2 linked regions of the Drosophila melanogaster genome follow. The protein of the gene in region 1 binds, or shares a complex with, the protein of each later gene. Each region holds a gene or a part of one and is shown in the gene's direction. Other genes may lie near its edges. The genes, in order: Hus1-like and Rad1.

Region 1 (3,925 bases):
TAGAGGAAGTTGATTTGATTCTTAGCGTGTTATGTAACCGTCTTCCCTAAATTTGGCAACGGCAACCAATATGGAACAAGATCAACTGTTTTCTAAACATCCAAAGGTGTTTAAAAAACCTTGTTTTAAGAATGATGTGCCATATTTCCATTCTCCTAAGCAATGGGGCAGTTTGGGCGTCATTAGTCTAAAAAACTGGATATACCTGACGACATCCCGCATCGACGAGTGCCTCCAGTTGGTGGAGAAGAATCGGCTTATTGGCAAACTCCACCAGTGGCTTGGGCGTGCTGAGGGTCAGGGGTCGCAGCCGGGTCCCATAACCACCGACCAGAATCAACGCCCTCGTCCCGTTTCCCACAGCTGGATTTCCACACATCACTTCTCCGCTTCCGCTTCCGCCTCCTTTCCGTTCTCCGGTTTCTATAGTCCGTAAGCGAGCGACACGTCACACCTTAAAGTTCTCGAGACTTTCTCCGTACAACGAGATTCCGTTTCAGCGGTCAAACAACTGCAATCGACGAAGGCAAGTGAGTGACTCAGTTGGTTGTCTTTAGTTTATTGTTTACTCACCTTGTTGCGCTATCTATTTCCTTGTTGTTGTTTTTGGAATTGTCTTTTTTCGTGATAAGAACCTTTGTGCTTCTGGTTGGATGCACTTGCCTGTCCCAAAACAATAATAGTTTCTATTAGTTTTAGATGGACGTTTTCAAGGCTTAGGAATATCGATCTTGTCATTGAACATTCAATATGGTCTTTGTGTATTTTATTATCATTTGTTTTATGAGTAAACTCGCCGCACAGGAAAGTAAATAAAAACCGAGCTGGCAAAGTTGGGATAACACTATCGGAAGATGGCGATGATTGCGCTTCGTCCCACTCGCAGCAGCGCTGATAGCCGGATTCCACCGAACATTTTACGCTAAATTAATAAAATTTATTAAAATTCATTTCTTGTTAAATTGAAGAATCTTAAAAAATACTTTTCAGTTTAATTTAAATTAAATAACCTATCTAAAGACCACAATCAGGCATGTTCCGGTAATAGTAATATTTTTTCGATTACGATTTGGCAAAATCTTTCGACTTCGTTTTTAGGTGCTCGGGTTTTCGCGGAATTTTTGCGATCGGAATGTTTTGTAAACAGGAAACAGATGTCTAAGCTGTATTCCAGACAATGGAGCGACCAATTTTTTCACAGTTTTAGTTCCGATGTTCGCACTGCACTTTGTCCATTTAAGTAATTAAATTAAATAGTATTATTTACGAACAGTACTTTCGACCCTCCTTTAAATTAATTACGAATTTTTTTTCATTACATCTTATATGCATTTATACTGTTTATACTGTATTGTTTCACCAATAGTATAGCAGTCTTCCTGATAGCTTTTGTCGACATAATTATGAACACTTGCCAAATCGAAACTTTTTGTTGCCAACTGCAAAATTTTGTTTGTCAAATTTCAGGTGGGGTCAGAAATTACTTTTGTTTAATATAACTAAGTCTAAAAATGATCTTATGGTGATGTGGAACATAAACATCAATTAATAAATATCAATAGACCAGCAAACTATTTTTTCCCCTTAGTTAATAAGATCTGATTTGATATAAAAAAGGCATTTACTTTTTAAAAGGCCGTTTTACAAATTAAAATTTTCTTACGAATTCGATTACCGGAGCATTCCCGAATAATATTGTAGAGAGCAAAACGGGTTGATGGTTTCTAAGGTTTCAACGGCATTACTGTTTTGACTATTCCCTACATTTCAAAATATATCAAAAAGAAAATCCTAAAATGTACAGTAGAAATTCAGCTTTTTATAGCTTACTTAAAAGTTTCGCAATACTTATTCTTGAAAACGCAACTCAATGTAAGTTTATGTATAAAGTATACTTCTGTATACATTAATACAATTATAATTGTAATTAATTAAATCACTATAATTATAATTACCATGCATATCGCCTACAAACCAAATGCGGTCTGCGGCGAAGGTAACGGAAGGCCCCAAATGCATCGTTCACATTCAAATAAACAAAGCATTCCCCATCGGTATCGTTATCGGTTTTCGATGTCGATAGTCGTTCGTAGCAAGACGCGGTCTCACTGGTGCACATTGTTTTCCGTCGCGTGTGAAAATTGCTGAGTGTATAAAAACTGTGCATACTTAGAGAAAACTTCTGCATTTGGTTGAAAGGTAAGTGCGACTGCTGCGGACGCCATGGAGACCAAAAAGCTTTGCAAAGGCGAGCCTATGGCGATACGAAGAAGTAATTTGACCACTGATTTTATGGGGCTCCGAGCTCAGACGAGATACACATACGCACACATACACACGCTTACGTTTCAAATAGGCACCAGCGAGACGGAAAACAAAATGTCGACCGAATTGTATTTTCCTCTATTACTTTTTCCCACCGATTTGTGAAGGTTTATGCCTTTCGAAGGCTCGGAAAAGTGTGGTAAATTTGTGCTTTCCCAATTAGAAGTTTTTGATTGAGTGACATCTGGGTTTAAGTGCACTTTTTTCTGAGGGCAATCTCCAATATTGATTTTTACAATGGCTGCCGAGGAGTCTCATTCATTTTCCAGGAAAATGTGCACAGAAAAGCTTATACCAAAGTGCATAGGTGATTACAATTCCAAATGAATGATTTTCCAAATAGTTAGTTGATAAATTTACGAATAGAATTTTCTCGCAAATCAATTTTGATCGTCTTTCGTGTAGGTTATCCACTGATGAATACGTATGTGTGTCTTTTTATTCTATTCGAGTTGGTATTTTCTTTTATTTGATAAGGGGTGGGTGGGGGTCGAGCGCATCTTGTTTAGTTTTACTTTCTCTTTTATTTATGCTGCAAACTTCAGCGGGTGGTGCTCCATCCATGCTAGCATGTATGTATGTATTTAGAGTGAGTGTGTGTGAGTTAGTGAGTGAGACTGCAAGGCAATCACGTTTCTTATTCTCAGCATATTTATTTTCTGATCAATTTTTGGCCTCTTTTCAGCACTTTAATATTCTTTCCTCCCCTCTCCAGCATTTGTTTGAATTTTAATATTTAATTGTTAACGTACATATGTACATAGATACATACGTTTAGATACGTTTCAATGACGCGAGGGTTTCAGCAAGAAAGCAGATACATATATATACATATTTGTGTAGCCATTATTTTTTTTCGCTTCTTTGTGAAATTCGCTATGCTGCTGTGACGTCATAGGTCAATTTTTAAAGAGAAAAAATAAACAGCTGATTGCCAAATAGGCAGCACTGTCGTGCGAGCTAGAGTTGCCCTTCCTAAAAGGCCTACTAAATGTCATAAAATAGCCCTCATTGCACTGAACAAAACTCAACCCGGAGAACTCAGTGACGTACTTTTTCTGAATTTTAGGGATTATTACATCAGTTTTTGTATGCTTCCTTCATTCCTGATGCCATAGTATTACTAGCTTTGTCAACTTATACAGCAACTCAAACAACCCATGTGTATGGAAAGAACAAAATATGGTAAGTACCAGTTCATTTCTGAAAGAACTCTTAAAAGCAAATGGAAAATCGCTGAGGTACTGCCAAATTTCTTGTTATCCACTAACCACTCTGCCACGCATAAACGTTTGAGCTCATTTTCATTATCAATAACCTTGAAGGTTGATTGAACTGCGAAAGGAAATATTTTGACCCCCTAGACGGGATATAATTTGATTTCCGCCCCCGGAGCCCCCTGGCAACACCCTCCCCGCCCCGGGAGCCAACCCTGGAGCCGCCCCTACACTTGAGCCGTACAAATCCTGTCTGTCGTTTGATGACTTTGTGTGCAAGGAGAACGAGGCAGTCTTTGTATCTGACTGCGTGCTTCATTTCGTCGAGCTCCGTTTCGTTTAGCCTGCTCTCTGCTCACCGCTTCGCCCACCAACAAAAATAC
Region 2 (3,925 bases), on another chromosome or scaffold:
TCCGGGTCCTGAAAACCGGTTTTTTTTTTACAAAACCCAACTATTGTCCTTTTTGGTTCTTGGAACTGTGGAAAGAATTCTTACACATTCCTTTGTTACATTTACTTTTTTCTCTTATTTTCTGACCTTCGCCAAAGTGCAGAATACAGAATTTTAACCAAACGGATATTCTGAAAAGAAAAAGAAAAAAACTTTATAGAGAGAACTTAAAAATTTAAAACCCTCGTGACTTGCAACCGATAGTTTTATTTCATAGCCCTAGGTGTCAACCCTGTCGATGAAAGAGAGAGCAAAAGCAGCTTTATTCGCAATTATTTATAATAATAATTATAATACATATACTGGTTCCCGCGCAAACAACAAATCCCATGCGAAGAAAGGAAAAGACAGCTGGACTTGGACTAGTTGGGAAATAGACGGGGTCCTGAAACAGAAACAGGAATAGGATATCAGCTACCTGGAGGGCACACTCACACACACGCAGAGGCAGGCGCTCTCTTCCCCGTATATGCGTGCGCATGTGTGCGTGCAGGTAGGAATGCAACCACTTTTCGCATTCTGCCGCCAATTTTCAGTTGACGCAGATCCTTTGAGGATTGAACATGGAAAACGTGAGTAGCTGCAGGATATCTCCACCGAATATGTTGATCAAGAGTTTTTCCCATCGAATTGCAGCAATATCAGCGCATAGTCAGCGCCACTGCACGCGAGGATTCGCAGGCAAGGAGGAGCAAGCCCTTGTTTCTGAATGCCTGGTCGCAGACTTCTAGCGTGGACTTCGAGGTGCTTCGCAGCATCTCCGCGCCGGACCCGCAAGTGGAGGTCGAGAACAGAGCGCTCCGCGATAAGGTCCGCTACTTGGAGGCCAAACTGCAGCAGCACAAGGATCTGCTATCCCAGATTCATGCCACCTCCGCCAGGATGCAACAGGCATCCTCCCTGCTGGCAGAAAGTAGACCACCCACGCCGCCCGCGGTCCAGAGCCACCACATTCTCACGCCACCGAGTTCAGAGATATGTGCGCCCGCGCAGAATCCCCAGATTCTGGACTACAAGATCATCTCGGCACCCGACGATGCGGATGCCATTGAGATTCGCCTGGCGGCGGAGAGTCTGAACAGCCTGAGCACCTCTGCGGACTCAGATCGCCTGGAGATTTGCCTGGGCGACGAGAATCATCAGCAGAGCAATCATCACAATTCCCAGCAGCAGTACAGGATTAGCAACGGCATAAAGAGGGATGGTTCCTCCGAGTCCGCCGACACTCCACTACAGTTCATCAAACGCCGCAAGCTGCAGGAGATTCAGTTGCAGGAAGAAATCCCGCGGCAGAACATAAAACTACCAGCCAAACCCCAAGTCAAAGCCCGTAATGGCAGTTTTACCGATCTCAACAAGGGCCAACAGCAAAACATGGACAACGTGATGGTGTCCATTGGCCCGAACAACACCTGTGTGCCCGCCAGTGTCTTCGAGAATATTAACTGGTCGGTGTGCTCGCTGGCCACCCGGAAACTACTGGTCACGATCTTCGACCGGGAAACTCTGGCCACCCATTCGATGACGGGCAAGCCGTCGCCCGCCTTCAAGGATCAGGACAAGCCGCTCAAGCGAATGCTCGATCCTGGGAAGATCCAGGACATCATATTCGCAGTGACGCACAAGTGTAATGCCAGTGAGAAGGAGGTGCGCAACGCCATCACCACCAAGTGCGCCGACGAGAACAAGATGATGAAGATCCAGAACGTCAAGCGACGCAGCAGTGGCATCAAACACGAAAAGGAGAACATTATTTAGATGTATTAGTAGAAATTTGTTAGCACTTAATCATTAATGACTTAGAATAGCACCAAAAACGGCTGTAATGCCCGCACAAACTCTCACAATCCATAGATAGTAGAGCACTACATCGAACTAACGTGTAGCAGATTTTTAAAGATCTCGAAGATGATTTTACCAATCCGAACCAAAAGTTATTGTGGTTTTATTTACATTTCAGGGGTTGTGCAGGGTAGATAAGGGTTTCTGCATAAAGCCTTCATTCTTTAAAAAGTTGAAAAGAGTAAATGTCCCAATTCGAATTAGATAATTGGCGCGAAATTCATTTACCATATAAGGCTTGGAACTGGTCACCCTAATAATTAAATCACCAATATGCAGCGCTGCCAGACTTTTGTTCAGAACAGCTGTTGACGCCTGACGACTTTTTGGCGGTATTGTTTATAAACAAAATTCACTTAAGAAACTGGATTTAATAATGTCCTGAATGGCGTCCGAGTCAGAAAACACTACATCCTATTTTGTTCCGCATCTGGTTGATCAAGTCTTCGAATTATATCGGAGTAAAGCAGAGTCCAACAGCCTTACAAAAGGTACGAGCTATCAAATCAGAAAGATTCTGTAGTAACTACTCTGGATTTCAAACTTTTCAGAGGAACGCGGACAGTTCTTTTACGATCTATCCATTTTATTGGGCCAAGAACTGGTCCTGCGATCGCTACACCTCTTGGACGACCACAACTTCTCCTTCTTCCACGCCAAGAACAATCGATCCGTGTGCGTGGTAGAAATTTCCAAGGGAACCGAGTACTTCCGCTTGATTCCGGGCGTAAGTTTCTGCAAGTGTGAGTTCTTCCAGTGCCACGTGCTGCAGTTGCCGCGAGGCATCCTCTACCAGGACCTTCCCAGTGGCGAACCGGGCATTTTAGAGGATTGGAGCGAGGAGAGCCGGGTGTCCTACACCTGCCAGCACATCCTGGCATTGCGGCTCCATCAATTTCTGAAGCACACGGGCGGGAAAACCACCGAGAAGATCCTTAAGAAAGAGGATATCAAGGAGCTGCGGACGGACGTCTTTCGGGACTAGGATGACTGATGTGGAGCCATCGCCCTACGGCGACTGCAAATTCGTCGCTCGAGTGGAGCACATCAAGACCTTCATCCAGGCCATCAAGTCAATCTGCTTTAATGATGTAAGGATTAACTCGAACTCTCTTTATTCGTTAACCAACTTAACTCGGTAACAACCTATTGTTTTACCCACAGTATGGGATGGTGCAAGTCTCCGAAGATGGTCTGCGCATCACCGTGGAGCAGGGCAAGTCCATCCAGGCAACGCTTTTCATGCCGCCGGGTGCCTTCATGGAGTTCCGTGTGCAGGACTTCCAGTGCTTCGGTGTGAAAATGAATGTGCTGTCCGAGTGTCTCAGTCTCTTCGGATCCGCCGATTGCAGCCTGCGAATGATGTACAGGGATAAGGGCGATCCCCTGAAGATAATTCTGTATCCGCACGACGACGATGATGTGAGCACGGAGTGCGCCATCAAAACCATGGACTGCGATGAGCCCATTGACTACGATCAGAATCTGAAGGATCCGGATCTTAATGTTATTTTCGTACGCGGACCGAACCTATCGAAGGTGTTCAATGAGCTGGAGAAGTCCGCGGAGGAGTTCGAGTTCGTGACATCGCCGAACCGCCCGCACTTTAAGATCACCACAGTGGGGATCATGCAGGCGGTGTTCAGCGTCGAAGTGGCAAAGACGAGTCCCATGATGATGATGTTTAACTGCAAACAGACGGTGGTGGCTCGCTACAAGAGCCAGCAGATCCGCATGACCAACAAGGCGATGCAGTCGGCCACCAAGGTGGCCATTAAAACGAACTCCGTTGGCCTCCTAGAACTGCATCTGGTAATGCAGGGCGATAGCCAGGAGGAGATATTCATTCAGTTCTTCATAATTCCTTTGCTCAACACTGATTAAACCGAAACTACTAGGTAGCTAATAAAATAGAACTTTAAAATATTGCTAAAATCTTGAAATCATGTAAATCTAATTGAGGTCTGTAGTTAGCGTGTGGGTCAATTGTTAATGCTTCTCATGCAAATATAAGATGGATTCAGCATTCAGTTGAGTACTTAAG

The links.
Region 2: Hus1-like (region 1) and Rad1 share a complex: the UniProt entries of both Drosophila melanogaster proteins name them as parts of the 9-1-1 checkpoint clamp complex.

What each region holds. Positions count from the first base shown.
Region 1 is NT_033777.3:4,810,257-4,814,181, reverse strand, and holds the start of Hus1-like (Hus1-like), read left to right. Parts: upstream 1-2,085; 5' UTR 2,086-2,199; exon of another isoform or gene 2,200-2,738; intron 2,739-3,394; exon of another isoform or gene 3,395-3,510; intron 3,511-3,925. Other genes in the region: Gmppb (GDP-mannose pyrophosphorylase B), read right to left, coding at 206-379. UniProt on the Drosophila melanogaster protein: Component of the 9-1-1 checkpoint clamp complex. Involved in both meiotic and somatic DNA damage responses.
Region 2 is NT_033779.5:2,573,323-2,577,247, reverse strand, and holds Rad1 (radiation insensitive 1), read left to right. Parts: upstream 1-2,195; 5' UTR 2,196-2,266; coding exon of another isoform or gene 2,267-2,372; intron 2,373-2,432; coding exon of another isoform or gene 2,433-2,866; 5' UTR 2,867-2,867; coding exon 2,868-2,972; intron 2,973-3,045; coding exon 3,046-3,765; 3' UTR 3,766-3,812; downstream 3,813-3,925. Other genes in the region: insv (insensitive), read left to right, coding at 603-611, 676-1,797; Sws1 (SWIM domain containing Srs2 interacting protein 1), read left to right, coding at 2,267-2,372, 2,433-2,866.